5 separate regions of the Mus musculus genome follow, and all the other regions are reported to be linked to region 1. Evidence: microRNA targets listed by miRTarBase, many of them from high-throughput screens and not tested one by one. Region 1 holds a microRNA gene; each other region holds the end of a gene's coding sequence. Distances are from middle to middle.

Evidence for each region. The annotated mature microRNA mmu-miR-324-3p reads CCACUGCCCCAGGUGCUGCU and lies in region 1 at 4,451-4,470, shown strand. An mRNA with a match to its seed (bases 2 to 7 or 8) in the 3' UTR can be bound and repressed. Matches are read on the target gene's strand: a 7mer-m8 pairs with bases 2 to 8, a 7mer-A1 pairs with bases 2 to 7 and ends in A, and an 8mer does both.
Region 2: miRTarBase lists Slc22a23 as a target of mmu-miR-324-3p. Seed matches in the 3' UTR shown: 7mer-m8 at 3,613-3,619.
Region 3: miRTarBase lists Adam10 as a target of mmu-miR-324-3p. Seed matches in the 3' UTR shown: 7mer-A1 at 3,258-3,264.
Region 4: the mRNA of Lfng is a reported target of mmu-miR-324-3p. The part of its 3' UTR that is shown has no 7-base or 8-base seed match.
Region 5: the mRNA of Myo18a is a reported target of mmu-miR-324-3p. Seed matches in the 3' UTR shown: 7mer-A1 at 4,344-4,350.

What each region holds. Positions count from the first base shown.
Region 1 is chr11:70,007,645-70,013,711 of GRCm38, forward strand. Mir324 (microRNA 324) reads left to right here and starts at 4,399; the gene lies at 4,399-4,487. It overlaps Dvl2 (dishevelled segment polarity protein 2), which reads left to right. Exons shown (of 15, transcript NM_007888.4): 11 at 171-299; 12 at 376-507; 13 at 637-816; 14 at 1,133-1,351; 15 at 1,500-2,465. The coding sequence ends at 1,948. Acadvl (acyl-Coenzyme A dehydrogenase, very long chain) reads right to left here. Exons shown (of 20, transcript NM_017366.3): 7 at 5,790-5,934; 8 at 5,528-5,657; 9 at 5,314-5,439; 10 at 4,804-5,002; 11 at 4,542-4,646; 12 at 4,040-4,126; 13 at 3,892-3,954; 14 at 3,701-3,802; 15 at 3,524-3,621; 16 at 3,362-3,434; 17 at 3,205-3,277; 18 at 3,054-3,126; 19 at 2,881-2,956; 20 at 2,539-2,792. The coding sequence ends at 2,652.
Region 2 is chr13:34,178,242-34,184,308 of GRCm38, reverse strand. It overlaps Slc22a23 (solute carrier family 22, member 23), which reads left to right. Exons shown (of 10, transcript NM_001382849.1): 10 at 998-5,140. The coding sequence ends at 1,355. Among named protein-coding and RNA genes, the nearest start is that of Gm52037, 17 kb to the left of the region's middle.
Region 3 is chr9:70,776,659-70,782,725 of GRCm38, reverse strand. It overlaps Adam10 (a disintegrin and metallopeptidase domain 10), which reads right to left. Exons shown (of 16, transcript NM_007399.4): 16 at 2,497-4,726. The coding sequence ends at 4,632. Among named protein-coding and RNA genes, the nearest start is that of Adam10, 100 kb to the right of the region's middle.
Region 4 is chr5:140,613,451-140,619,517 of GRCm38, forward strand. It overlaps Lfng (LFNG O-fucosylpeptide 3-beta-N-acetylglucosaminyltransferase), which reads left to right. Exons shown (of 8, transcript NM_008494.3): 7 at 741-826; 8 at 957-2,095. The coding sequence ends at 1,023. Among named protein-coding and RNA genes, the nearest start is that of Lfng, 9.1 kb to the left of the region's middle.
Region 5 is chr11:77,863,497-77,869,563 of GRCm38, reverse strand. It overlaps Myo18a (myosin XVIIIA), which reads right to left. Exons shown (of 41, transcript NM_001291213.1): 41 at 3,576-4,873. The coding sequence ends at 4,729. Among named protein-coding and RNA genes, the nearest start is that of Gm29932, 18 kb to the left of the region's middle.

The DNA of each region.
Region 1 (6,067 bases):
TCAACCAAACAAGCCCAAAAAGAGATGAGAAAAGCTGGAAGTTGTAGGGAATGTGTTCAGGAGGGCCAAGGGATGGGGGTAGACAGAACTCCTAATTCTGGAACACACAGGCCTAGTTTTCCAGGCTTGAGCAGCAATCATCTTGGTGTTTCACGTTACTCTTGTCCTAGATGAGCCCATCCAGCCCATCGACCCAGCCGCCTGGGTGTCGCACTCGGCTGCGCTGACTGGCGCCTTCCCTGCTTACCCTGGCTCCTCATCTATGAGCACTATCACATCTGGCTCCTCTCTGCCTGATGGTGAGTCTCTCTCCTTTCCCGCCTCCCTGGGTGTGTGAGGGACCTTTCGTAAGTTCTCCGTGGTCTCTCCTATCAGGCTGCGAAGGCCGGGGTCTCTCTGTCCACATGGACATGGCCTCTGTCACCAAGGCCATGGCAGCCCCAGAGTCTGGGCTCGAAGTCCGGGACCGCATGTGGCTCAAGATCACCATCCCAAACGCCTTTCTAGGTATTCCCAGGCCCTGAGCAAGGTGGCATGGGAAGGTGGGGAGGAGGCCAAAGCTGGGCACAACACAAGGTGGAGGGGAGGGGAGGAGCTGGGAGGAGAGTCTGACCTGTTTGCTGTGCTGGATCCCAGGCTCCGATGTGGTGGACTGGCTGTACCATCACGTGGAAGGTTTTCCTGAGCGCCGGGAGGCCCGCAAGTATGCCAGTGGGCTGTTGAAGGCGGGACTCATCCGGCACACCGTCAACAAGATTACTTTCTCTGAGCAGTGCTATTATGTCTTCGGGGACCTCAGTGGTGGCTGTGAGAGTTGTAAGTCAGCAGGTCTGGCTGTAGGAGCTCAGGCTGATGTGTGCCCCGGTACTGCTGAGTAGTACTGCTGAGTAAGCGAGGTACCTGAGCTGCATCCCCAAGGGAAAGAGTGCTGCACGGGGCTCACAAAAGCATTTTGGGGCTATTGGTGAGAGTCCTGGCTGTTTCTCTGCCAGAGCAGCAGAGTTTCCTGTTGTAAGCCATCATGGTCTCTGGCTTTTGTCTCGTGGGGAGCTCTGGGGAAATGGCTCAGGTTTCTCTGTTCTCAGGAATCCTGGCCTCCTAAAGCAGGGACCTCTCTTCCATTTTTTTCCAGACCTAGTTAACCTCTCTCTGAATGACAATGACGGTTCCAGTGGGGCTTCAGACCAGGATACCCTGGCACCTCTGCCTGGAGCTACTCCCTGGCCCCTGCTGCCCACCTTCTCCTACCAGTATCCAGCGCCACACCCCTACAGCCCCCAGCCTCCACCCTACCACGAGCTTTCTTCGTACACCTATGGTGGAGGCAGTGCCAGCAGCCAGCACAGTGAGGGTAAGTGACCCACTCCCACGTACCAGTACAGCCAGAGAAAGTGGGCACAAGTAGAGCGGATTCGGGGAGGAGAGGCAAGAGCAGGGACTGGGATCCTGAGGACTCTGGGCTGAGCTTCATTTTCCTCGTCACCTCTGCCCTCCAACAGGGAGCCGGAGCAGCGGGTCGACAAGAAGCGATGGGGGGGCTGGGCGCACAGGCAGGCCTGAGGAACGGGCCCCTGAGTCCAAGTCCGGCAGTGGCAGTGAGTCAGAACTCTCCAGCCGGGGAGGCAGCCTTCGGCGGGGTGGGGAGCCTGGTGGGACTGGTGATGGCGGCCCTCCTCCATCCAGGGGCTCGACAGGCGCTCCTCCTAATCTCCGAGCTCTTCCCGGGCTCCATCCCTATGGAGCCCCATCTGGCATGGCTCTCCCCTATAACCCCATGATGGTAGTTATGATGCCTCCACCCCCACCCCCTGTCTCCACAGCAGTGCAGCCCCCTGGTGCCCCTCCAGTCAGAGACCTGGGCTCCGTGCCCCCAGAACTGACAGCTAGCCGTCAGAGCTTCCACATGGCCATGGGCAACCCCAGTGAGTTTTTTGTGGATGTTATGTAGGGACCCATCTTGAGGCCACATTGGGTCTGTGCCCTTGGCCTGGCAAGTTTCAGCCTGGTGCCCTTCATAGTGCCTGGGCTCAGCCTGGCGGCTGGTGCCTACCAAAACGTTTTTGCCACTGTGACTCTCACCAGCAGTGCCTGGTCCTTCCCCCTCTTCCTCGGGGGTAGATGGGGACCTTTGGTTATTTTTAGCTTTATTTTTTATAAGCTTTTTGGGGGGTTAAAATAGACTTTCTTATATTTGGGGGAGTATTTTTTTAAATAGACAGTTCCTCTTTTATATGGAGAATCCCTTCTAACCCCAGAATATGACCGCCACCTCCAGGTGCCTAGTCAGCTCTCATGTTGAGGGTGGGTGGTGGTCAGTGGTACCCTGGGAAGAAGAAGGTGTGGGCTGGGTACCCCAGACAGCAGTCCAAGGAGGCTGGTGGTGTGTTGGGGACTGTGTAGCTGCCTTTGTTACTCTATTTATTTTAGTCACTTGTACAAAACACCAAATAAAGCAAATAGAGGCCAACTCCCCAAGCCTCTGGCTCCTTTCTTTGCGAGGCAGGCAGTGGAGAGGAGGGAGCAGTGACATTCACGGCAGACAGTGACTTGGTAGAAAATTTATTGTTAAGGCAATAAGTACTCCATCACCCCCATAAAGGGTTTTGGCATCAGAGAAGGCACATGACCTTGCCAGGGCCTGATTGGGAGTCTCAGATTCCCAGGGGGTTACCGGTGACCAGGCCACCATTCTCCACCATGGCCTTGGAGATGCTTCTGAAGTTCCGGAAGAGCTCCTGATGCTGAGGGCTGGACTGCAGACTGGCCATGTTTTCTCGGATCCGAGTTGCAGCCTGGGGAGAGGGAAGGGGAGGGACGGTCAGGCCGTCCTGTACTGGGGAGCTCCAAGGCCCACCTGTACTGGGGAGCTCCAAGGCTCACCTCAATGCACCAGCTATCACAGAGCATTTTCTCATGCTGTGCCGTCGGGTAGCCCTCACTCAGGGACCTTGAGGCTCTGTGAGGAAACAGAGGTTAAAATGATCCTGAGTGCTGGTGTTGGCCCAGCTCCTCTGTGGCTCTAGCCTGCCAAGCGTCCCTCGCTGCCGCCTTACCTGGACAGAACCACCACCATGGCATAGAGGTCAATGGCGCCGTCCGCCAGTCGCTGCAGCAGGAACTGCTCGTCTGTCAGGTAGATGAGGGTGGGGCTGTTAGTCGGAGGGAGGGAATCAGGGAGGGAAGGGGGTTGCAGAGCTCACTCACTGACAATCCCTTTCTTGTGTTTCACCAGCTTGGCCTCCACCACGGTGGCAAATTGATCCAGAGCCTGCACTGCCTGAAGAGACAAGAGTCACAGACAGAGCTCAGGAGAGGAAGGCAGCGCACAGCCACCGCAGGCTCTGCTTTAAGGCTCACTCACCAGTTCACCACTGCGACTTAACTCTGGGTGGACAATCCCTGACAGACTCAAACCACTGCCGATTCCTGTCCTCCTGAGAGGAGATGGAAGAGTGACTGGTCAGTTGCGGCCTCCCATCTTGTTTGACCCTGACTCTGACCCTGGCCCCGGCCCATGAGGTACCGTCTCAGCTGTTTGCCTGCTTCTCCCATCAGGAGGCCAACGTTTCCAAAAGGATTCTTCAGGGCATTGCCCAGCCCAGTGAGTTCCTTTCCTTTGTCCTGTGGAGAGAAGGGGGACGGCGACAGTGAGGACTCAGTGTCCTCCCCAGCTGCTCTCTCTCATCCTCCTTCCTCTTACCATACAGCCTTGCAGAGCCACAAACAGTCGAAGAATGTCATTTGCCCCTTCAAAGATCCGGAAGATTCGAATATCTCGGAGCACACGCTCCACCCCTGGTTCCTGGCACGCAGGAAGACACAGAAACCTCTGTTGAGATGTGCCTGTCCACTCTGAACAGATGCCCCCCCCTGCCGAGGAATACTCTGTACCTTCATGAAGCCCATGCCCCCCATTATTTGGATGCACTCATCTGCCACTTTCCAGGCCGCCTCCTGAGGACAGAGAACCAGATGAGTTGGATTTTTGAGCTGAGGTCCTAATCTGGACTCCGCCCTCCCATCACACCTGGGTCCTCACCGAGCAAAAGATTTTGCTGATGGCGGCTTCTATCTGGAAGTCTTTGAATCCCTGGTCCATGTTGGCACTCAGCATGTAAGCCATGGACTAAGGGAGCATGGTCGGGACATGGGGAAGACAACAGGGAAGGGCTGCATCAGACAGAATGGCTAATGCTCAGACCTTCAAGACCAGTGCTGATCTACTCCTCCAACCCTTGAATTCACTTTAGCCTCCTGGTCAGGTCAAATATGTCCAATATGTGACCCTCTGGTATATCAGGGGCTTCGAGGCTTCCGACTTTGTAAAGGGGTGGGTTAAAAGTCGTGTTTGGTGCATCTGGGCAGCATTTAGCAGAGCAGCACCACCCTCCAGAAGAGAACTGACTATGCCTCCTCGCATCCCCTAGGGCATTGGTGTAAAGCTGGAGACCCACTGCCCCAGGTGCTGCTGGGGGTTGTAGTCTGACCCAACTGTGAAGAAAGCCATAGGGCTCCAGGGAAGGGGCCCAGGAGGCCCTTACCTCAGTCACATACTGCAGAATAGCCATCCGAGCCAGCTTTTCCTGGATCACCCCAAAGTTGTGAATTTTGTCCCCAAACTGGGTACGATTAGTAGCATGATCAACCTGCAAGAGGGCGCATGTTACCCCACTGTGGTTCTTCAGTTTCCACCTGGACGGGCTGGAGGCCTAACTGTGCCGATGGTCGAGTGTGCATGTGTGTGTGTCGGCGCTCTGAGGCAGTCAGGGACATGTGCTAGCTAGGGACTGGGCTGGGACTCACCGCCTTGGCAATGAGGGATTTCATGGTGCCTGCGAGGGTTGCAGCCATCCCGAATCTTCCGTTGTTGAGGATGTTGACAGCAACCTTGAAGCCATCTCCCACCTCTCCTAGCACATTCTCTGATGGCACCTTCACTCCATCAAAGTACACCTCTGACGTGTTAGATGCTTTGATGCCCATCTTCTTTTCAGGGAGCCCACTGAAAAGGCAGGGCAGGAAAGTTGAGGTATGAACAGGTTGCTGTGGGGGAAAACGGCCTTTTCGGGTCTCATGATCAGGGGAGAACTCCCCAGACTATAAAAAGGATACAGGGCACTGCCTATGTGCCCCAGGGGCTACGGATATCTAGCTATGGCCTGTTAGCCTGTGTTCCCCCAGTGGAAACAAAACTGCTCACCTCCTGTGGGTGCCTCTTGTACAGAGATAGCCCCAGCGTGGCCTGTATTGACTATTTGCTCTTGAGAGCCCAGTGCTGTCCCCATCCTTGATTCTGTTTTGCCCCATACTCACTGGGTAACCCCTCCGAAGCTCCTTTCCACTACAAAAGCTGTGATCTTCTCTTTCACGGCCCCCGTGGCTGCATCTTTAATTGGCGTCTTGGCAAAGACAGTGAAAATGTCAGCCAGGCCCCCATTACTGTGGAAGAGTGAGGTGGTTAGTATAGGGTTTAGAGCAGCAGGGTCAGGCCACTGGGCTGAAGGGTAGAAGAGAAACGGAAGATTGCCTGATCCAGATCTTGCTCCCATTGAGAGTGTAATATTTTCCACAGGGGCTGGGTATGGCTGAGCTTCGGATGGAGGCTACATCGGATCCACTCGAGGGCTCTGTTAGGCAGAAAGCAGCCAAAGCCTGCCCTGTGGGGGAGAGAACGGGCTCACTGGGGATCCTGACCACCAGAGTTGCACCCCCTCATCCCCAGGCAGTTCCTTGTAACACCGTGAGCAGTGTCACACTCCTTACCCCTGGGTCTCTTAAGGTTGCCTTACCAGATGCCACTCTGGGAAGGTATTTTTCTCTCTGGGCCTTTGTGCCATAGAGCAAGATGCCTTTGAAACCGATGCTCTGATGAGCTCCCAGGGTAACGCTAACACCAAGGTCATGCATGCCCACAATCTCTGCCAAGCGAGCATACTGGAGGGAAAGGAGGCATCTGGGATTGTAGCTGGCTGCACTGAACTTGTCCTCAACAAGAATGGGCAGCAGGGCAGACCTGGCCTGGGGCTTGGAGCATCTCTACTCTGAGCATGGGGAGTGGAGTGGGTTT
Region 2 (6,067 bases), not on the chromosome of region 1:
GTCTTTGTTGAAATCCACTTACCATAGGTGGAAAGACCTGGTTGTTCCTGAAGTCCACATCCCTGTATATTCTCCCTGATGTTCTTACAGGTAGGCAGGCTACTGTATTCCTCCTTCTGAAGATAAAACCACCTCAATCTGTCCCTTGGGCCTGGGGACTGGGGACCAGGCAGTTTTCTGGCCCATTACCTGAACACTATGGTCTCACCCCAACACTGTACCTCTTTCTTAGTACCTACAGAGCACCTCAGCCCCTGGAATGTTTTCATGTCAAAGTAGAGAAGATAGAGACACGAAAGGAGGGGTGCTAAAATGTTACGTGTCTTCTCAAGGGTTCCTCACTTGGCAGAGGAATAGAGATAAATGACTCACACTTTGACTTTGGCCCATCTGAGCTCAAAGTTGCAGGAATTCAGATACAGCCAAGATGAAAGTAGCTTGGGATATCAAACCTATGGGATTTACTAGGTGGAACCAACCAGAGTAGGGCCCAATACAGAGGCTGAACTTCCTTAGTGCCTCGATCCACTCTCCATTGTAGTAATTGACAATTTATAAAGAATACAGTTTATTCCGCTATGGTCCTGGAGGCTGAGAGGTTCAAGGTAAGGGGTTGTACATGGTGAGGACCCTAGATAATGGGGATTCTGCAGAATCCCAAGACAGTGCAGGGCATCAAGATAGTGGTGACCCAGTAAATATGCTAGCTCAGGCTTCTCCTCTCCTTCTAAAGGCTTTATAAAATTGCTGTCACAGGGGGCCTAACCTCTTGACTACCTCTAATATTAATTATTCTTAAAGCTCCCTCCCATGTCTGAATTCCACCAACATTTGAATTTGAGATGAGGTTTCTAACACTGAGTTTCTGGAACAGTGCTATGAGCTTACCCTAACAGCCATAGTACTTAGCACATACCAACCAACCTGTGCTCCCATTCCACCCTACCTGCGCCAAACCCTTATGTTCCATTTAAGCCTGTGCTCTCTCCCCATGCAGGTGTGGTGGGCTCGGGCTGGTGCTGGCCAGTGCAGGTTTTGGCATGCTGACAGCGCCCATTATTGAGCTGCACAACCAAAAAGGCTACTTCCTGCACCATATCATCTTCGCCTGCTGCACGCTCATCTGCATCATTTGCATCCTCCTGCTTCCTGAGAGCAGGAACCAGAACCTGCCTGAGAATATCGCCAACGGGGAACACTACACACGGCAACCGCTGCTGCCACACAAGAAGGGAGAGCAGCCCTTGCTGCTCACCAACGCGGAGCTCAAGGACTACTCGGGCCTGCATGACGTGGCTGCAGTGGGTGACGGGCTGCCAGAGGGGGCCACTGCCAATGGCATGAAGACTATGTAGCTCGCTGGACCACGCCACCATTCCACCAGTCCCCCCGGGGCTTGAAGGGCTGGGGAGAGTTTGCACACAGGTTTACAGACCAGGGAGGAAGTCCATCTCTGCTGCTGACTCCACTCAATTGTGAGACTTTCAACCGGTGTGGGGAATTCTGTCTTTCCAGACATCCGAGGAACACATCTGAGAAACCAGATGCTCTGGAAATAACCCTCTGAAGACTTTCTTTTCTGCCATTCAATGTTTGTATTTATTTTGGTCATTTTTACGAGAAGCACTTTATCCCCTTCCCCCCTCCACTGATCATGAAGCAGAACCTCCTTCAGGAGTGAGGGTCACTCTGAGGAAGTCCCTGTAAGTGACCAATGCAGTGGCCAGTCCCCTCCCTGGAGGCCAGACTCAATTTCCTTCTCCACTCAAGGAGACAGAGGTCATCTGTAGGCCAGGACCCCTACCTCCAGGCTCCCTGCCATGGACAGCTGTGCCTCTCAAGCAGAGAGTCCTTGGGACTACATTTTACACAGAGGAAAATGTACATGAATTGTTGTTTTTCTTTTTTTCTTTTCCTAGAGTCTGTATATTTTAAAGTTGGGTACTTTACTTTCTGTTTGTTAGGTAGTTTCCATGCTGTGTTGGGAAAACAGCCTCCAGATGTCATACGAGCCAGCTTAATCTTTCTTTCCTTCAGGATCATCCTTTTGTACTTGATCTGGAAGTTTTTGTGGGGAAACTTCCATACTTCACCAGAAATCCTACATGATGAGAAAGCGCCAGTTCCCGCCGCCGCCCGGTTTGCTTAGTTAAGTCCACAGCAGCTGTTGTGTTGAGGTGGGAGCCATGTTTGTTTCTGCTAAGACACTTTCCTTGACTGAGCTCCAGCAGCAAAGGTCCCTCTTCCCCAGCCAGCCCTGTTGCCAGTACTACTTGAAAATGTGGCCACTTCCAGAACTCCAAACAAAAGGAAAATAACAGAAAAAGGCAAATCCCAGGAGGGAGTCTCGATGTCCCACACATGGCCGCCACTCACGTCTCCAGCACATACCATAGAGAGCTCCAGCTTGGATGGCTGCCACTCTGACATCACAACAGTGCCCACAGCACCTGGAGGCGGTCCACCTCATGTCTTCCTCAATGGCTTCCTGCCTGTCACTCACTCAGCACAAAAGGGCCCTGGGCAGGAGTGCAGGTTGCTCACAGGTCAGTCCACGTGGCCTCTAGTCCCTTGAAAGCAGCAAGAAGTGAGAGAAAGCAATAACTCACCAAAGCTCAACTCCCATCCTGTACCAGCCTCCCAGGATGTCCTTTATCTGTGTCCCTCATCTTGCCCCAGACAGCAGGGCACCAGGGCTGCTAAGAAACCAGCCTCTGGACCTCTTGCAGCAGCTCAGGCACCAGCTTCTCTGGGCATCGTGGCTTCTTATCAACCATCTGCCTTGCCTCTTGCCATGCGTCTCTCCCACGTGCTCTTCCAGGGAAATCATGGCCTTGGGCCTATGTAGGCAACAAAGTGACTTCTAAATGACAGTTGCTAGAATTCAAAGGCCAGAAAAAGGGTTGAGTTGAGCCCCTTCCAGCTCCTTGTCTGATCTGTTTCTTACAGTCTTACCCACTTCTCTTCCACATCTGATAGAGACATCAGTGGAATCCAGCCGCCTTGATCAAGCCCTCTTGAGAGTACTGATTCCATATGCAACCCTGTTTCTGGCAGCTGGCCTATGTTCTCTTTGATGCCTGGGGTCCTGAGTGCTTTGCTTGAGGACCAACATGTCTAGGAGGGCGGCCATGTGGCCAGTCCTTGATACCTGTTTTAAGTCCAGCTTCCCTTCACTCTCCCTGGTCTCTCAGTCATCCCTCTTCCATGCCTTGAGGTTAGTACACATTCTCTTTCCAAAGCCTCTGTGATCTGTGCAGCCTTTGCGTGCCAAACTTGTAAGATACCATTCACCTTTCCCAGGTACCTGCTACCAAGTCACCTGGCAGCAACCTTCTGTTAAGGACAGAATGGGACATTTGCAGTCATGAGCAGGCTTACACTGGTTGTGTTGGCCTGCAGAAATCACTAGGTTAGTGGTGTCAAGGTATAGCACTTCGAAACTTCTTTTCAAGGTCTCCAATCTCCACCTCAAATGACAGTGGTAAGAACACTAGGCCAATGCAGACAGTGTTAATGGCTGCAGCGACCAGAGGCAACCCATCAGGGATTAGCAAAGAAGCTGCCACTGAGGCAGGGGCCAGAGGACCATCAACCAGAAGGCAGACTGCTGGCAGTGTCTTATGCCAGCCTCAGGGAAAGACTAAGCAGCTCAGTTTCTGCTTCAGTGCATGGACACCTGAAGTTGCTAGAACACCTTCATGAAAGATAGCCAAAACAGGAAAGCTTGCTTGTGAGCCAGCTTGCTGTGTGGTCTGACCAAGTGAGAAAGACAGCAGGCACCCAGGCCTCAGACACTCTGACCTAGCTCCAGAAAGATGGCCACAGCCCAGCTCCCTGGTACCAAGCTGTCATCCCTAAACTTGGCCCTTTGTCCCTTGTGGGCAGATGCTCCTCAAGCACTGGCCTTTGTGTGGGGCCCCTCCCTCCCTGGAGAACGTTAAAAGGTCTTACTCTCCACCCATCCCTACACCTGTTTTCATAAGTTATGCACAAATGTCAACAGCTGAGACGGGGTGGGACAAGTTCTTCATTTTGCTCTTTATTAAGTCAAATATTATGGAAATATCTACTTATTAGCACCCAAGACAAATAGGGGAAAGGTTTAGATGTTTTTGTGTTTTTAAGACTATAACCACCTGCAACTGGAGGACAGGGCTGATAACGGGTTTGGCCACAAAATGGAAAGCAAGCAAAATCAGACCTCGTAAGGGGAGTATCACACACAGTCACGACTACTTCCCAGAGCCAAACGAGAAGTCCCTGAACTAGAAGTGCCATTCAAAGAATCTCGTGACCATCACACACCCAGCCCCTGGGTGGCACATGGGTTGAGGGAGGCCCACACTTCAACTCCTCCCTGTTCTGAATGACACCACCTCACTCTAATGTATTGTGTGTGTTTTAGAGAAACAATATGGTGTGTTGTGTCTAGTGAGGAACGCCTCCCTACCTCTGTCCTTTCTGCAACCCAACCATGCGTGCTTTTCCTCTAAGAGCCGCGTGACTGTACGTGTTGAAGGGGGCGGTACCTGTTCACAGCACAAGTTTATGTTGAGCTCTGAACTGTCATTCACAGCTGCGTGTCTGCATGGTGTCGCATCTGTTGTACCTTTGGGGAAAATTTGTATGTAAATGTACAGAAATAAAAATGTTGCCCCATTAACAGATTTCCTCTGGAATGTCTTCCCTACCTCACCTGATGGTATCCACAAAGGGCATTTCACTACCACTGAGGACGAGTAAGAAAATCCTCCACGTTGATCAGACCTCCCCACGTCACTACTTTCAAGGCTTCTTCTGTGAGCGGCCTTCATTCGCCCTGCAGATGGTGGGGCCTCTCACTCTGCTTTAAGAGTCCTAGTCTTAAAAGGTAGTCAGAGGCTGAGATCGGATTAAACTTAAATGCTTATGTAGTGTAATTCTCAAAACCATCTGAGAATCCTGCACATTTAAGATGAATTTTTTTCCCTCCTTTGTGTTCTGCTAATCCGTGGCCTGAGGATTCCTAGAGAGGACAAGGAATGACTATCTACACTGTGATTCTGGGAGGAAAGACTGATAACACAAAACTCTCTTCTCTAATGTAGTATTTTTTAACAAGAAAATAATATTTCTTTAATAAAGCATTTATACCAAACTCTTCTCTCCATAGCTGATTTTGTGTCACTTACTACTCTGTCCTAGGGAGCTTCCCACTGGGCTTTCCACACTGCAGAAACACTGGCCAAGGCTACCGAGGCTGGCGTCAAAATATGCAGGAGGCGGGCCTTCAAACCACAGACACCATTACTACCAAGTGCCCTTCTTCCTGCCCCTGCCTGACTCGGTGCAAACCCACTGACACTGTGCAAAATAATGATAGGCCCTGAACTGTCAACTCAGGAGGGTCCAGGGGGACCCCAAAGATTAGAGCTCTTTGGCAATGGTGGTCACCTTTTGTCAAAACGTAGATCTCAACACATGAACCTCAAGTGGAAAAAACACAATTAGAGCCCAAGTAGTAGCCAGGAATTAAACATGGCCGAAGGGCAGGTAGTAGGAAGAAAGGGGAGAAGGAGAGCCAAGGTAAGTGCAAAGGGGCCTGAGACATTGGTACCTGTAAAAAACAAAGTTAAAACCAAACCTGGCATCTGTCACAGCCTGTCACTTTGCCGAGTCTTTCTACACACTTAACCCAGCAAGTTAGGGATCATTGCCATTTCACAGATGGAAAGAATGGGTTCAAAAATCTAGACTCCACTGAGCCCCAAATCTACAAAGCTACACTAAGGTTCAGGTCTGGCTTAAAATAGCACAAGTGAGGTAACCATGAAAGGCTTAGAGAGAACACATGGGAAGCCCCCAAGTACTAACCTTTCAGTTCACAAGTTAGAAGCCTCAGGCCCTGCACTCAATCCTAACCAAACCACAGCTGTTGACTCTCACCAGGAATGAACGGACGGAGTGATGACTGATGTATTAAAACTCTGTCTGATACACTTCCTCCCCTTTCCTCTAGCACTAGCAATCAGGAGGTGTGTATCGTCTGTTCCCTTTTCTTGCTTCCCATGCCATCAGTTTGAGC
Region 3 (6,067 bases), not on the chromosome of region 1:
TAGATTTAGGATTTCCACAAAGGATTGTTTAAAACAATGAAATATCTGGAACTTACATATGCAAACAATGGGGAAGTGATTAATGTAAAAAGGCATGCAATACCTCCATAGGGTGAGATCATTACTGCCATCAGAAAGGTTAATACACCATCACTATTTTTGCTAAATGAGAAAGGTAGGTTACAAATTATATTGTGAGTCACATGCATTTACTCATATATTGTGCCCTGAAATCTTGACAGTGGAGACCAGGGCATCCATTATCCCATGCCCAGTTGCCCATTTCACTTCAGGCTTAGAATGTGGTGACCCTGGAGCTGCCAAACCATGCAGACACTTCCATCTGTTCCAAGTGGCCAAAAATGTATTCTTGTTACCACGCTCTTCACTTCACCTACTCTGTGTTGGATTAGCCCTGCCATTTTCACGGGGATTTCCAGACAGAGAAGGTAATAAACACTGCATTCAACCCTCTTGTATTTATCTAGTATCCAGTTGCGTTTTAAAAGAAAACACATTCTGAAATGCTTGTCAGTTATAAATACACAAGTTTCTAATGAAAATAGCACATAGGTATATGTCTGAAAACACAAAGCATATGGGAATACAGAATACAAAGGTTTAATCTGTGTCTCACTAAAGAGTTGGCTCCAGAAACAATAAAAATGCTACACTAGTAATAAATGAGGAAAAAAAAATCAACTGGAAGTCTTTACTTTTGTTGCTGCTGATGTGGCTCTCCTGTTTGGAAACGTGTCTGCTCTGTTGCCCAGCCTGGCTTCTATCTTAGGGAACAAGCAAGGCTACCTCAGCCTCCTAAGTAGTTAGGACTACTGGCATATGCACTGTACCTGGCTTGAGAGTTCTTAATTGAGAATCTAAAATGCTTAAAAAAAAAAAAAAAAAAAAAAAGCTATACTCTGGGCAAAGTGATGATCTTTTGTTTCTGAGACAGAAAAAAGTTTCCTCCTATAATCTCTTACAGCATTGGTGACTTCTCTAAAGACGATTTATCCTTACCATCTGCTTCAAACTGGCATCCTCCCTGCTCCCTGGCTCTGGGAAAGCCCAAACCTTTTGTTCCGAGATGCTCTGAGACATTTGACTAAAAATACTCCAGGAGAACTTAAAGGCCTTTTCAAGGACAAGTATGCACCTCACATCTACCAAAGACACCATGTTGAGAGCAACAGTTGGGCCTTAAAAAACAATAGCAGCCCAAGACCTGACTTAGAAATAGAAAACTGCTCAGTTTGGGCAAATCTTCAGTTTTACATTCAACTATGAATGCAACAAGTTTGAAGTACCTAGACAACAAAGTATTAAAGATACTGAAAAGCCAAGACTAATCTTATAAAGCTGTCTTTCCCTTAGATAAACCCTTCCCCAGCCTACATATTGCCTGGTGCTATGGAAATCACTAAATCCCGAAACTGTAATGATATATTTGTTTGTAAACTGGTGTTGAAATTTAGAAAACTATACCAAAAATAAATTCCAAACAAAATTTAAGCAGCAACAAATTTGCAATTATCTGACTTGGTAAAAATTACCAGTTTCATGGGGAAACAAAACAAAACAACCCCCTAATTATTAAGTAACGCTACTGTAAAAGTATGAAAAAGTAGGCACAAATATAAGTGCCCCTGATTCCAGCAGTTGCAAGGCAAAGGCAGTGAGTTCAAGGCCAGCTACAGCGTGAGACGTCCACTTAAAAAACAAAAACAGAAACAAAAACAAAAGAAAAAACAAAGTATTACATATTTACTTACTTAATATATACCAATATTTATAGCTAGTCTTAATTTTAAAATAGGAATTTGGGGCATATTATTCCATAAAGGGCACTATCCTGTATACAAAATAATTTCTTTTGTAGGTAATATTACAATGTCAATTCTCTGCTTACAATATATAATAAATCTGGTAAGACGGGAAAATGTTAGTTCAGAATTTCAAATACATTTTCATTAGACCAAGTCTTCTTTTGTGTGGGGGAACTGACAGGGGAGTTATGAATTGAAGACAAGGTCCACGTGCATGCTAGGTAATTTCTTTACCAGGATTGTTTAGGGAAGGAATCTTGCATATAGCCTAGGTTTACCTTTTCTCTCCAGATCCTCCTACGTTAGCCTCTACAGTACTGAAATTATGGATAGGCACTACCACATCCAGATAAATCAGACATTAATAAAAGCACTTAGCACCCAGACAGAACTTTGAGAACACAGAAAGAAGACTACAAGTTTCCAGTTAGCTTCAGCTCTTCACTAGGACAAGTCCTGGACACTGCTTAGAAACAGTGAGAAGCCGTTGTGTTGAGTAACTTTCAACATACAGTGTACATGTGATAATGGCAATCAACTGTGCACCATGGCTCTGGACTGTAGCAGTGATGCCCTCACTTGCATGGAGAGACCTTTCTGCTGAATAGTCCTTCATTCAGCATGGTGGCTACTTCTGATGTTTCTGAGTCCAAAGAGCATAGACCTCAAGTTGATTTCATCAAGTCTATTTATTAATGCATTTCAAGTTTCAAAAAACCTTACATCTTTGCACAATACTTTATTTTTTGCAGGTTTTAGTAAAAATTTCCAAAGTGAACAACAAAAAAAAGATACTGTATAAAACACAGTGGACATTAAACTGACAGTAGTATTAGATCTCACTGGTCCTGGTCCTTTCATTTTTTAACCACATCTTGATTTGTAGTGGAAACAGTTCAGTGCATGTATCTCTTCAGAAAACATTTAACTTAGACTCAAAATAAAATAGGGCAAAACCCTACCACAGGATAACATTACAAGCAAAAAATGTACATGTTCCAAAGTCTACCACACTCAAGAAGTTACTAAGAACTCTTGCAGAATAAAAGTCACCATTTTAGAAATGCAAATCCACTTCCAACCTTTGCACAGTCCAAAAACAAAGGCATTTGAATGATTTAAAGCAGTGTCATACACAGCTACCTACTTGTTGGGTTAGAATTATTTATAGTCTATCTGGGGTTTCATGTACAAAATTTGTCTCTAAATCATGTACAAAAAGCTGTTTTGAAAAAAGTCCCGCGTACTGTACAAGTTTACAAGGAGAGATCCCATTGTTTCTCTAGCGGTTTTGGCCTTGCTGGCTCGCGTCACATTGTGAGTGATTGTGTAAACCTTAGACTCTTAAGAAAAAAGGAAAAAAAAAAAAAAGCCAAACACAGTAATCTTGTCAACCTTCTCTAGATTGCCTCCTATGTAAAGCCAGGAAGATCACTGCTGCTGACTTCTAATTTAAGTGATGTAGCTGGAAAACAGAAGCAATGAATATGTCACAAGCTTACATTTTTTAATGCCCCCTCCATTTTCTGCATAGCGATAAGCCTGTTAATACATTAAATGCTTTTGCTTTCTCTTTCTTTAAAAAAGCCAATATTTTATCTGCTTAAAAAAGAAGTTTGTAATGGGACACTGTGCTGTCTACCTTCATTGTTGCTAAAATGTTGGGGGGAAAACAACGTCGAAAAACCTATCTACAATTTCAACTACCTGCTGAGCAAATCACCCATCTCTAGTGGTTACCAGTGATCAGTGACAGTGCTGAAGAACTAACTGTCCAAGTATTTCAATGAAGACACTGATTTTCTTTTTCATATTGGATAAAAACAGAATTAGCAGGCTTGAAGTATATGGAATACACAAAGTAATAAGCAGGCTACAGATGAAAATTAATCATTTCCAACATAATTCCAAGGCATGAAAAAATTCACCTAGCAATTTAAAAATGGAATTGATTTAGAAAGTATAAAATACTAAGCAGAAATCAGACATCTACAAAAAGAGCTGACTCTGAAGCCAAATGCTGTTGCTGTCCAGTTTGCAAGCCATCAGCTGCGTTCTTCAGCACAGCCTCTCCTGCTCACAGCAGCCATGTAACAAGGAAAAAAATGTATGTAAGAACCAACTCCACCATAAGAAAAGGGAAAATGATTCTCATTTCAAAACTGCCTGCATAAAGCATTACAGAATCCTGGACCACTGCACACCACCATTCTCTGTTATCCTGAGTATGTCAATTAAACAGTAATTTTTCATTAAGAGCGGAAAAATTTATAATACAAAGAAACATCCATATTGCAATTTCTGTTTACAATTGCACAGAGAAGTACAGTGTACGTAAGAAATACATGTCTGCATATAACAAGGTATGTACATTGGCAAGTGATGTATCCAATGTTGAGGTGGTCGAGCCTCCCAGCCTTGATTGGCAGTTGAAAAAAATATATTTCAATTTGTGATAAAAGTTTATCGAGAGCCAAGTCTGTCTGCAAGTGAAGAAAATGCAGCAACGAAGAACAGGGAACATGGGGCACATAATAATATTCTAAGACTTTGTGCCATTAGGTTAAAAATATCTGTTCATAAGAAAATTGGGTTCCTTTTCCATCCCACCCCCACCCCCAAAATTGGAATTTTCAGGCTTTAAATTTTGAGTAATTCCACCTGATCTGAGGACATGATCTCTTGCCATTTTTCTTCAACTATTAACTGTAAGGGTATCATTTGCAGATGATGACTTAACAGGTTTCTCTTTGGAGTGAAGTTTTCCCACTGTAGGCACTAGGAAGAACCAAGGCAAAAGCTGCATTAGCGTCGCATGTGTCCCATTTGATAACTCTCTCGGGGCCTCTGACGCGGGGGCTGCTGAATGGGCTGTGGCGGTCTCCTCCTCTTTAAAGTGCCTGCAACGAAAGCAAAACAGCTCCCTGAGCACCACCTCCTAATCTTCAAAAGGGAAGCACTCTTTCACCAAGAAAAGCTATTTTTTGGCACTGACCAGCAGAAATAGGTACCCCGTAACACTTTTCAGTTTTCTGGTGGCCATAATAAAATAAAAATAAATTTTAATATTTATTTTATCTAGGCCAATTCAAGTTAAAAATACCAACTGTAGCATGTACTCAATATAAAAATTACTAAAATATTTTACTATTTTATGTTGTCTTTAAGTCTGATCCATATTTAATATTTAACAGCACATCTCAGTGGAGATGGGGCACATTTCAAGTACTTAAAGAATTAGACTGACCAGTCAGAATTATTTTAGCTTTGAGAGCAGAATCTCTGACTGGAGCCCTGACAGACTCTTGAGGCCTGTCTGCACAGCAGGATGGGAAGTCATTCACACAGTCTATCATGAAGACTTTAAAGCCGTCCTTAAGTCAGCACTTTTATGAAGATTTAACAAGTGACGATCATTTTCAGAGGTGTCAACACACAAGTGCATTATCTGCTCCAATGAAGAAGGACACCATGGCAACCATGCCTCAAAAGTGTCCTATAGCTCTTGGAAATGTGTTCAACTCACACAAGTGCCTGGGTTCTGACTTAGGAAACTTAAGAAAGCAAGTATATCAAATCAGACATCCTCCACCCCCATCATGACTCCTGGGCACTCTTGTCCTAACACGGGAAAATGCAAGGAACAGCTGAGGGGAAATACAAAGTAGAAGAAACCACTCTGAGGCAAGGCTCTCCTGAGGAGGCCACACAGTAGCACACAGCCCTGGCTTCCCTGCCACTGCCTTAGGCAGTCTTCCCCACACCTGTAATGACTAGCCACACCTTGGAGAGGGGAAGGGGAAACTGATCAGACTAACTGCAACAAAACAGCCATCCCCTTCTGTCTTCTTCAAATGCTCAAAGTTGACTTGTCCTAGTGGCAGTGTCCTCCAGAGGGAAGGGTGGAGACTATCTGACAGGTTCTTAACATCTGAAGCTAAGACTCCCTACATGCAAACTTATATTTCTCAGTAAGCCTCTTGCAGAGGAAAATGTGCTTCCTACCAGAAACTATTTCAAGAACACAGACATTACAAATGGTATCAGAGCCATTAACTATTTAGATACAAAGGCCAATAATTTAAAATCACCTCCACTACAGTAACACAAACAAGGTATGGCAAGAGACTGAGACAAAAACAAGGAAGGAGGATCCAACCAAAAATCAAAATGTTGGTCAAATGTTTCTTGGCACTCAGGATAGATCAGCATTACAATGGTAGTCAATAACTAGATTGGAC
Region 4 (6,067 bases), not on the chromosome of region 1:
TTCTGAGACAGGGTTTCTCTGTGTAGCTCTGGTTGTCCAGAACTACCTTTGTAGACCAGGCTGGCCTCGAACTCAGGGATCAACCTGCCTCTGCCTCTGAGAGCTGGATTATAGGCATACTGATACAGGGCTTCACTATGTAGCCCAGGCTAGCCTTGATCCTCTTGCTGTAGCCCCCCATATGCTAGGAATCAGCTGTGTGTCACCACACCTGATTCAGAGTCGTTTAGGGGTGGGGTGTATGTATGTTTTCATTTATTTATTTTTTTATTTACTTAGAGATGGGTCTCTTATAGCCCAGGCTAGCCCTGAAGTTGATATGTAGTTGAGAATGACCTTGAATTCCTGATCCTCCTGACTCCACTTTCCTGGGCTAGGGTTGTAGGAGTGTACTACCACATCCAGTTTATGCAGTTAGTTGGGCTAGCCCAGGGTCACTGTTTTAAATAGGGATATCAGAGACTCCTCATTCTCAGGTGTCACAGCCTGCTGGTCCACATGAGGTACCCCAGTTTCACTCTCTAGCTCCTCCAAAACAGAAAGTCAAATAGATTCTTCTAAGTTGCTGATCATGCCCTTTGAGGGGACACTCTTGCTCTGTCTCCCTTATGGTCGTAGGCCCCACCATGGGCTTCATCCCCAGGTGGGCCGAGCCAGTGTCCTTGGCTCAAGGGACAGCAGCAGGAATAGCCAGGCAGGACTGCCACCTCTCCAGCATCATCCTGTTGCTCCCAATGCAGGTGACCCTGAGCTATGGCATGTTTGAGAACAAGCGGAACGCAGTGCACATCAAGGGACCATTCTCTGTGGAAGCTGACCCATCCAGGTAAGAACTCGTAGAGGGTCACCAAGTACCCCCGGGGTTGGGGGGGTGGCAGGAACCCCATGGTTGGGACTGCCAGAGGGCCCATGGCACCCCCAGCCCACGCAGACCAGTCTTTACTCTGTCCCAACAGGTTCCGCTCTGTCCATTGCCACCTGTACCCAGACACACCCTGGTGTCCTCGCTCCGCCATCTTCTAGCAGTCGTGGTTGAAACTCTGTCCCTGGGCGCCCCTGGTATCCAAAGGGCCCAGGGACCTTTATTGTATGCCCTGGCCTTGGTGTCCGAGGCTCTTCAGGGCTATGTGTATGTGTGTGTATGTCTATATTTGTGTGTTTGTGTGGCGTGCCCACCCGTGTTGCAGACTGCTGGGCAGTCGTGTTCTTCAGGGAGTGGCAGGTCTGTCCCTAACTACACTCTGAGCACCACTCCGAGGGCAGTTGTGTGGGATCTGTGTTTGGATCTCTGCAGTGGGGGTGGGTGAGGCCTTGGGGCTCCACTCAGGGGTCCGTGGGTGCTGATTGTAGCAGTCTCTTATGTTGGGGTGCTAGCACCTATCTGGAGCCTTCCCTGTCAGCTGAGCTGTGCCCAGTCCTAGGGAAGCTGATTTGGGTAGTAAAGGCCTGGACCCCTTGTGAGCTCTGGCCCGGGCGCTGCCTGGTGCCATTCTGGTGAACAATGCTCCCCCACCCCCTGCCCTCCAGGGTGGAGGCGAAGTCTTCAGCCCCACCCTCTGATGCCCTATCTTTGTCTCCCACACCAAGTGGGGTTCAGAGCTATGAATTTTATCTCCTCTCCAAAGTAGAGAGAAAGTCGCCCATAGTGGGTGTGCCTGTACATATTGTGACAGTATTTTTTTACTGTGCTCTTTCTTGAAAGGGGAGGGGTGGGTGTGAAAGGAGGTGGGGGGTGGTTGTTTTCTGGGGTGGGCTGGAGAGGGTCTTATTTTATCTTTTCTGTGGATCAGAAAAAAGTGGAAGCCAGACAGGCTTGGTCTTTGGAAAGCTGGACAATGAGTGCCTTAGTACTGTATTTATGCCTTCCAGTATCTGGAATCCTGCTCCCCCCCAACCCTCCCCAGCACCCCAAGACTTACCTCACCCCCACCACCCCCAACTCCTCACTCCCCTACCCCTGGGCTGTATTCTGTGTTCTTTTTGCAAAGACCTTAACTAGGCAAGCTAATGATGATAAGGGAAAAGCTCTCAGGGAATTGATGTGTTGTTGCTATGGTGACGTCCTTCCTCTGAATAAAGGTGCTCTTTGCAGCAACCCAAGGGGCCCTAGTCTTGCTTGGGAGTTGGGGCTAAGCCACCTGTCCATCAAGGTAACTCGAGGGGACTTTCAGATGAGGGCAGGGGAGACCCAGTCATGACATAGAGAAGAAGGCAATTGGTAAGAATTCAGCAAGTTAGCCGGGCATGGTGGCGCACGCCTTTAATCCCAGCACTCGGGAGGCAGAGGCAGGGGGATTTCTGAGTTCGAGGCCAGCCTGGTCTACAGAGTGAGTTCCAGGACAGCCAGGACTATATAGAGAAACCCTGTCTCGAAAAACCAAAAAAAAAAAAAAAAAAAAAAAAAAAAAAAAAAAAAAAAAAAAAAAGAAGAAGAATTCAACAAGTTTACGACTTGGGAGGGAAACTAGTGTTAAAATAGATGAAGTATGGCCAGCTTGGTGTAGATGTGCCTCTGATGGGTTGATACCATGTTGGGAGGTGGGAATTGGACAGGGCTGATGGCGGTAGCTGCTTGATCAGGTCATGCCCTGTGTCAACCTCACTGTGTCCAGACCTTTCTGGAGGAGGTGCAGTGGCTAGTGGGGGCTGGCCAGAGACCCATTTTCCAGACAGGAAAACTGAGGCTCAAAGCAGGCTAAATGAGGATGACCAAAGTCAGGCAGCCAGGCTGCTGAGGTGGATGACCCCCACCCCCCCTAGATCTTCGTTCCCTGTCAACTCTGCTGACACTGCCTGGCCTCTCATCTGTCATGAGATACACCTGTCATGTATCCTCTGAGGATGGGCAGTACCCAGGCTGCTCACTCGTGGGTAGAGCTGGCGAGGACTCGGATCTTTCTGAGGCTCTTCAGGGACCTTCCTCAAATCCAGCCACAGAGGCTGGCTGATCGGGGGATCCTCACCACACTCCTTCCCTGTGGTCTCCTTGTTTCCGCTCCTTTACAGAGAAGCAGGCTAGTGCTGCCCACCTGCTGCCCTTCTGTAGGTGGCTGCCTGCTCTGACCTGACCCCGGACTCACGGGGCTAGGTCCTCATTACCTGCCACCCCTGTGTCCTTTGCCTTCTTCCCCACACCATTTGATTAGAGATCTGTCCTGCACTCCACCAGACATTGCTCACAGCTGTGGGTTCAGCACCCCCAAGTGGGCTGGGCATGGCCCTTGCTGGTAACTGCTCTTGCCTTGTGGGGTGACTGGCCAGAGCCTGACCCCACCTTGGCTTTGTAGTTTGGCTTTTTAAGGCCTGAGGCAGCTGCCTGGGATTTTCAGAGTAGGGGATCCCCAGTGGTGGCCGTGGTCCTTGGCATACAGGGCCTGGTGGCGGTGGCTTGGGGCCCTACTTCTAGATGAGGAAGCTGACATTTGTAAGGGTGGAAAGGTCACGGTGGAGCAGTCTGCACACGGGCCATGAGCCTCCTTCCTGCCTGGATGAGTCAGAGGCCTGCTACCCTCTGCTCTGGTCGTCAAAAGCCCCTTGCAGCTGGCACAGAGCTGGCAGCCACAGAGGTGTGGTACAGCGGCACCAACCTCGCCGCCGGCATGGAGCTGGGGGCCCCAGCCAGGGTGAGCTTCCCATTCTGATTGGAGCCAGAGGGTGGTCCTGAGCCTGGAGGGCAGAACCTCAGCACGGAGCAGGAGGGGAACCCAGTGAGGTGGCATAGGTCTCTAACCTAGTATTATTCATGAGGCTGTTGAGGTAGGAGGATTGTGAGGGTCGTGAGATCAGAGCCAGCATGGGTTACCAAGTGAGGTCAAAAAAATCATCTAAGAAACAGAAGCCAAGTAGGGAGGGCCCAGGAAGGGTCTAGCCAGTGGCTTCAACAACTCCCAGGTAGAGCAGGCGGAAGAGTTTCTCCTGAGGAGGGAAGCAAGCTGACTGACTGACTGACTGACTGACTGACTGACTGACTGATTGATTAATTGATTTTTTTTCAAGACAGAATTTCTCTGTGTAGGCCTGCCTGGCTGTCCTGGTTGATCTGGAACTCAGATTCACCTGCCTCTGCCTCCCAAGTGCCGGGATTAAAGGCGTGCGCCACCAATGACTGGCTGCCTGGCCGCCTCAGTGAGGGTCTTAGCGAGGAGCCCTCCTCTCTGGTCAGTTACTCAGTCAGGTATCCTGTCCTGGGGCTTCCAAAAGTTTATAAAACGCCAGGTACACTGATGCCTCGTGCCTGTAAATCTCAGGGATGGGGAGGCAGAGGCAGGAGGATCGCCAAGAGTTCAAGGCCAGCCTAGGCTACCTACTGAATGATGCTCCTCCCCTCCCAGCTCTCAATAAAAGTAACACTGCACACCACGCAAGCTCTAGGGTGTCAGGGAGGGTGCAGAAGCAGGAAGGCACCCAGCTTCCTCTCTCGAGATGAGCTGGGTCTGGGAGAGGGTGGCAGGGTAGGGTTGAAGCTTTCAACTTCCCTCTCTGAACTTCCCTCCCCTCTGGGGTCAGCAGGGCTGACTTCCTGGAAGAGGTGCCTCACTGCTGGAGCCGGAAGGCCAAAACCACAGCGTGTGAGCAGAAGTCAGCATGTGTTTGTGGGTGTTCAAGCTTGGCACAGCCCAGACAAATGCACCCCAGGGTGGGGTTTGGAGGGACCTGGTGAGGAGAAGGCTGGGAAGGGCAGTGAGCAAAGCCATTTCGTCTCTCCCTGAGGCTGGACCTCTGATGGTAGAAGTCAGAGCCCGCTGGGTGGCTTCAGCCTCTGTTCTGGGCCTCATGAGGTCTCAAGAGGAAGCAGAAGGCCCTGGGCAGACAGCAATTTGTCAGACCCATTGGCCTAGCCTGTGGCACATTCTCCTAGGGCCACCTGACCCCAGCCTTGACCTCTCCCCCACCAAAACAACAAAAAAAATTTATCTTTTCCTATTCATGCTCGGCATTTAATGTTTTTAAATTTTTTTTTTTAAGTTGGGGCTGGAGAGATGGTTCCATGATTGTTGCTCTTGCACAGCAAGGACCCAGGTTCGATTCCCAGCACCCACAGGGCTGCCCATAACTGTCTCCAATCCTAGGGGATGTAACACCATCCTCTGGCCTCTACAGACACCAAGCGTGAATGGTGTACATACAGACAAACGCCTATGCATGTAACTTATAAAAAAAGGTTAAAAATATTGGGGGTTGGCATTTGTAAACATTTTTTAAAAAGATATATAAGTACACTGTACCTGACTTCAGACACACCAGAAGAGGGCGTCAGATCTCATTACAGGTGGTTGTGAGCCACCATGTGGTTGCTGGGAGTTAAACTCAGGACCTCTGGAAGAGCAGTCAGTGCTCTTAACCTCTGAGCCATCTCTCCAACCTTGAGAAATGGTTTTTGTGTGTCATGTGCAAGTTAGGTCACTAGACTTAACAATACGTACCTTAGCCATCTGCGTCATCTCAGTGGTCTTTTGGCAATTTTTTTTTATTGGTGTATTTCCACTGTACACAGTAATTTCATTAAGATAGCTCCATTTGTCACATGCTTTGACCTATTCATCCCCTCTACCTCTGTCCCCTCTAGGATAGTCGTCTTTCTGAGATAGCCCACGTGTACTTTCATATCACACACATACACACACACACACACACACACACACACACACATCCATGAGAACCGACAATATGGCTCAGTCAGTAGAGTGCTTACTAAGCATGAACCAAGTCCTGGGTTCAAATGAGTATCACATGAACATCTTTGGATACATAGAATCCAAGGCCAGCCTGGACTCCATCGTGAAAAATAAGTAAGACTGGAGAGAGAGCTTCAGTGGTTAAGAGCACTGGCTGTTCTTCCTGAGGATCTGAGGTTCGAATCCCAGTGGCTTAGAACTGGCCCGATGCCCTCTTCTGGCCTCTGCCGGTATTGCATGCATGTGATGCAAAGACATACATGCAGGCAAAACACTCATACACATAAAATATTAAAATAAGTAAAATAAGAGGGGGGGAATGTATTAAAACTAACCAGCCTTGCTTTCTGTGCAATTACATATGTAAATCCATGGAAGGGACCCTAGGACCA
Region 5 (6,067 bases), 7.9 Mb from region 1:
AGTAACTCAATGCGTAGGAGCCATTGTTACCTCCTCACCAAATAGGTGATAATCTTGGAAGCACCACCCAGCCTCCAGGTCCATCATTGCTTCAGCTCCCCCTAAGACTTAAAGGGGTGGGAAGCTGCTCCCTTGGTCCTGATCTGAAATCATTAAAAGGGCAATGCTAAGCATCATGGCATGACTCCAGATCACTCCAGATCACTCTTGCAATTTGATCTGGGAAGAGACAGAATCAAAGCACTCAGGAAGCAGAGGCAGCTGGACCTCTATGAGTTTGAGGCCAGCCTGGTCTGCATAGTGAGTTTCAGGGCAGTTAGTGAGACCCTGTCTCACACACACACACACACACACACACACACACACACACAGAGAGAGAGAGAGAGAGAGAGAGAGAGAGAGAGAGAGAGGAGAGAATGCCATTCACATGGCCCTGACAACTGCTTGAGACATAGCTAACACAGCCTGTTACTAAAGCTATGGCTTAAGCTGGATGCTGGATGGTGGTAGCAGTGGCTCAGGCCTTTAATTCCAGCACCTGGGAGGCATAGACAGGCAGGTGGATCTCTGGGAGTTCGAGGCTATCCTGGTCTACAGAGTGAGTTCCAGGACAGCCAAAGCTACACAGAGAAACCCTGTGGAGGTGTGTGGTTTCTGGGAGCAACAAGAGCAGAATCTCCAAGTGTGGGATGGAGCCAGAAGCTACTGAGCTCTAAAATCAGGGCTGTGAACTTGCAAATAAAATCGGAATAAATGGTAGTGATTTCCCAGTTTCACAGTGAAAGACAGGGCGCCTACCTGGCCTGACAGAGTCAGGAAGGGAGGCCAATAGGAAATGAAAGAGGGGCTGAAAGTCAGAGGCCGCTGGCTGGAAGCCAAGCCCAGGCAGACCATGAACTTCCTCAGCACCCGTCTCACCAACTCCATGGGTGCCACCCAAGGGTGCCTTGGCGGCAGCAACAGAATCTCAACTTAGCAACCAAAGGTTCGTGCCAGCAACACCACCTCACTTTACAAATGGGGAAACCGAGGCCAGAAGAGTCAGCCCCTTTCCCAGGTTGTGGTGTCAGTAGCTGTTTGCTTTTGCTATTTTTCTCACTGGCCCGGATTCCAACTGGGGCAATGGGAAAGAAGCTACCCCAAGGGCAGAACTCGTCCATCATCAGGCGTGCCCCTCCGCTGGAAGATTTAGAGAGGATATAGCCTAGGGGAAGATGAAAGCAGTTGAGGTAGCTGGGAGTACCAGGCGGGGACAAATTAGCATAGTCTGGTCTGACATGTGTTGCTATATAAGAGGCTACAAAGTGTTCCAAGTTCCTGAGAACCGGCTCCGAGGAAATGAAAGGGGAACAGGAGGGATTAAGGTTAGATTTAAGACAGCACTTTCTCCCAGGGATGGCCCTTTATTCAGTGACCAAGGCTGGCTGTGAACTCATCCCCTGTCCCTCCCACTCCTGAGGCCTTTGGGAATCCGTTTTCTCTTCCCACACAGCCTGCTTGGAGGGCGGGAAGCAAATGAGGTGGCTGACTTTAAAAAGTCCTCACTTCAGGTAGGCACTCCTCTTCCTAGATGGGCCTCCTGGGCTCTCTGCTGAAAGTGAGGACTGCAGCTTTCAGGCTCTGGGGCCCTGGGGGGAGAACAGCAGTCATGGCATCTCTTGCAACACGCTCCCTGCCAAATTGATTCAAATTGGCTTGGATATGAACATATGATTAAAGGAGCGGCGCGATTCATTTATCAGGAGAGATTAAAGAGCGGCATCTGCGCAGCCTAGCTGGGGGACAATTAAGGAGCAAATCGCTAAGTGTCTGTGCCACCAGGCACGGGGGGGGGGGGGGGATGGGGGAAGGACAACTGGGATAATCTGCCAAGAGGACTTGAGGACAAAGGGAGCAGTTTGGGGGGTCACTGCCTGCTGCTGATGTGTCTGGGCACTGCGGGGACTTCCCTAGGGCTTTGGTCCCTTGCCTCTAATTCTGGAGTCAGGGTATTCCTGCAGGCTGGAAATTAGCAGGGAGGATTGACAGCGGACTCAGGGTGGCTGTGAGGCGGGCCTGGGGCACAGGGCCAGTGGCTTTGTTTTGTGGGATCACAACCATCTTAGGGGAAGAGGTACTGTGGGTACTTAGGAGCTTGCAGAGTTCTCCAGGAGTAACCTCAAGTGAAGACAGGCTTTGGTGGTTTCTGGGCCTCTGGAGTGGGAAACAAGGGAAGGAAGTGCTGCCCTCCTAACCTGGGTTAGGATGTTTGTGGGAACTGGGAGAAGCATTGGGGGTGGGGGAGAGGCGGACTGTGAACTCGGGCTTTCCCAGGCAGTGTGTGGCATGAGCATTGTTTATCCCTCTGTGTCAAGACCATCCTGTAAGTTCTTTCTTCCCCATGCATGTCCTAGCAATAACTACCCGAGCAATCATTCTCCTTGAAGGCCTAAGCCCTGAATACCGTTTTGATGACCCTTCGCAGTCTCCCTCTCCACAAAGGCATTCATTCTCTTCCCATAGCGTAGCTCATAGCTCGGAAGCACCTTCTCTGCCCTTCTGCGGTGGCCCCTGATCCCATCCCTGGAGGACAGGCACTGAGATCTCTCCGCTCAGGTCGGAAGATGATACTTACCAGCAGGTGAGGCATATGCTCTAAGTCCGATTCCACCCTGGGATGTCCCCGATCTGAAAGGACTTCATTCTCAGCACCAGGACCGGGCCCAGGTTAATGAGGCGACTCAAATGCTGAGCAGACTGAGTAACACAAGTCCCCTGACTTGAGAAAATATTCTCACCCCAGACCTGGTGTGTTAGTTTGCACCTGCAATCTGGGGCTTAGGGAGGCCGAGGCAGGAGAACTGTGAATTAGAGGTCAGCCTGGACTACACAGTGAGGCTCTCACTTTCATCGCCTTTTCTCTTTGTTGGAGGGCAGGCGCCTTTGTCCCAGAAGGATCCAAGCTCTCCCCAGCTTGTTTTGGTGGTGACTTTTCCCTCTTTTGACTTTCCAGACAGACATCACCAGAGCTCTTCCCACCCACCTCCTCAGACCATTGAACGCCTGTGGAAAACAGATCTAGACATGGATAATGTTCAGAGAAGGAGGAGGAGGAGGAGGAGGAGGAGGGTAGGGAAGGCCTTTGGTTTCTTCCTCATCTGCATGAGCTGCCCTATAACTTTTGCAAGGCCACGAAAGTCTGGCGAGTATAGCTCAGGCCTGCAGGCAGAGACTGAGCAGCCATCTAAGGCAGTGATCCTAGGCTTCTCGAGTTTTCTGTGGCTAAAGAGGGCTGAGGAACAGAGAACATGCTGCCAAATTTTGACCAAAAAGTCACCTCTGGAGTGACTAAAGTTTTGAGAAGGGGTTGGGGACAAGCTGCCAGCCCCACTCACCTCAACACAAATGTGGGAGGCTCTGTCCTCCTTAAACAGCCTCTTTACCCACTATGGCAAGTGACCTGGTGAGGCTCTGGGAGTGAGTGACATTGGCCACACAGACCAAGGTGGTTCTTCCATGTCCCCATCAGAATTCCACCTCTGCCCCTGCCCGGGACCACCCTGGACTTCCCCTGAGCCTGCAAGGAGAGGCAGGGAAACTTGTGGCCAGGAGGGAAGGGGCCTTTTATTTCCTTACATCAATCAGGTCCACAGGGAGAGCACAGCCCAATGAGTACAAAGCAATGGCAGAAGGGAAGGGGGATGGCAAACAGGTCCAGCACCAGGTACTGCCTTGGGGCCCCCAGATCCAGTGGAAAAGTCAGATGAGCTTTATGGTAAGAAACCGAGAAGTAACAAGTAACAGACCACTTGTTGCTGTGTCTGGGGTAAGTGTGTGGGGACAGGGTTATGGGCAGAAGAAAGATGACAAAGGGTTAGGACTCCAGTCTGATAAACAGACCAAAACATCTACCTTCCACTGTGCCCACCACAGGTCCTCAGCGCCGAATGAGCGGCCCCGGCTATAATACGGTCAGAGGCAGGCAGAGCTGGAAGCCGCGGGTGGGTGCAGGTGGAAGAGATCAGCTCTTAAATAACTGCTCATTGCACTTAATACTCTAACGAGGCTGGCTCGGTCCAAGCCAGAAGCACCCAGCTGCCATCCTCCCCACCCTGCCTCCAAAGAACCAGGGCCCCGGCTCTGCTAACCGCTGTCCCCTGGCAGCAGGCTGCAGGAGAAAAGGGCCTCTGGAGAAGTGAAGATGGAGGGGAGATTCCCAAGGCATCCCACAGGCCCCAGCTGCAGCGGCAGCCCCTCCCACTCTCAGGGATGCAGCTGCATGGAGGTTTGGGTATTTAAATTAAACAGTAAAAAGACAGCAGGCACTGAGAAGAGAAAGCCCTCACCCCAGCAGAGGGGAGGCATCACTGCTCCCTCCTGACTCTTTCCCATGGGGCCCAGCGACTTCGAGCGGCCCAGCAGGTAACCTATCCACCATCCCTGAGCAGGAGGCTGAGATGGAGGTCCACCACCGGCTCCATGGAATGCCAGGCCACCTGACGTGGTCCATAGTGGCCCAGAGCGGGAGCTAAGAGCATGGCGTTCAGAGGCAAGAGCGGAAGCTCTCTTTGGAGAGACTCTGCTTCGCCCACCTCTGCCGCGTGGAGCTGTCAGACGCCCACAGCCTGGAAAGTCCCCCTGACAGAAAGCCAAGGTGTTTTCCATGCAGATCGGCAGTCAGGTGGGGGCAGTGGTGCCCCTCTATCCTGGGAGAGGCTGTGGGGTGGGAGAGTCGTGAGCCATCCCAGGCTATGCACTGGTCTCTGTCAGCTTGGCCTCTGTGTCGCTGTCACTCAGATAGCTGTGGGAGAACCGGGGTCTGGAGATGCTGTCCACAGGATCATGCTCATCATCCGATGGGTCAGGGGCGAGTGGCTTCCAGTGGCTGGTTGGGCTGCAGGGAGAGAGGGACAGGGTCAGGGCCAAAGAACACTTCTACGCTGGGCCACGGAGCTCTGCTCAAGCACTCTAAGACCCAAACGCTCCAGGGTCCAAAGGAGCACAGAGTCTGCAGTTGGTAAGCTTTTCAGACTAACATGATGGGAAGGCTGGTGGCAGCAAGGGCCAGGCTTCCATAAGCCTAAGAAGTGCATTCCTGTCTCCTTCCCCTGAGAAGCTTAGACTGAGTCCTGAGGGAGGAACCCTGGGACTCGGAGTTTTCAGCTCTCTTGCTCCCGTGTAAGCAGTCCAAGAGCACACGGATGAAGGTTTAAGGCAGGTGACTACTTGACTACAACCTGTCCAAGGAGGAAACTCTCAGGTAGATTACTCCTGGCAGGACCCCAGGTCTGATCTATTTCCCCTAATCAGGGTTTCCCTGGGCCTGGAAGACTTCAGTCCTTGACCATGGCATCCTCTACTGGAAAAGGAACGGAGGCTCGGGACAGAGGCTGGCAGGACCTGTTTGAGGATGGGCCAATGGGAGGGGTCCTTAACAACTCCTTGGAGTCTTCAATCGGGCCCCTGGCTCTGGAAGGCTGTCCCTCCAAAGATATGAAGAAGTATGATCCCCTGGAGGGAGAAGGACTGTAACATCCAACAGAGCAGACAGGACTACATTCTCTGGCTCCATCCACTCTCATTCTTTCCCAGAGCCTCCTCCTGTCCCCACTGTCCCTAAGCCCATGCAGTACAGTCTAATGTCCCTGGAGAAGACACAGCCCAACACAGCATTACCTCTACTGGTGCCCTGGACCCAGCTTTGTTTGTACCCGGGGGTGCCTGTGTTCCAAGAGACAAGGGATACAGGTCCTGGTGACCTTCTACTTGGACAAGGTAAGTGTCAACAATTGCTAGGTCTACTATATTCTGAACTAGAAACCTGAGGGTGCCCCTTTACTGGTCCTTTTAAAGTAAGATGAGGAGCTGGAGAGATGGCTCAGTGGTTAAGAACATTGACTGCTCTTTCGAAGGTCCTGAGTTCAAATCCCAGCAACCACATGGTGGCTCACAACCATCAATACAGCTACATAAAATAAATAAATAAATCTTTAAAGTAAGATGAGGGAGCAGACAGTAGTTTAGGTTTCCCTGGAGGTGGCAGTGGAGGTGCAGAGGTAAAGGTTCCACCAAAAGTCCTCCTGTCGTA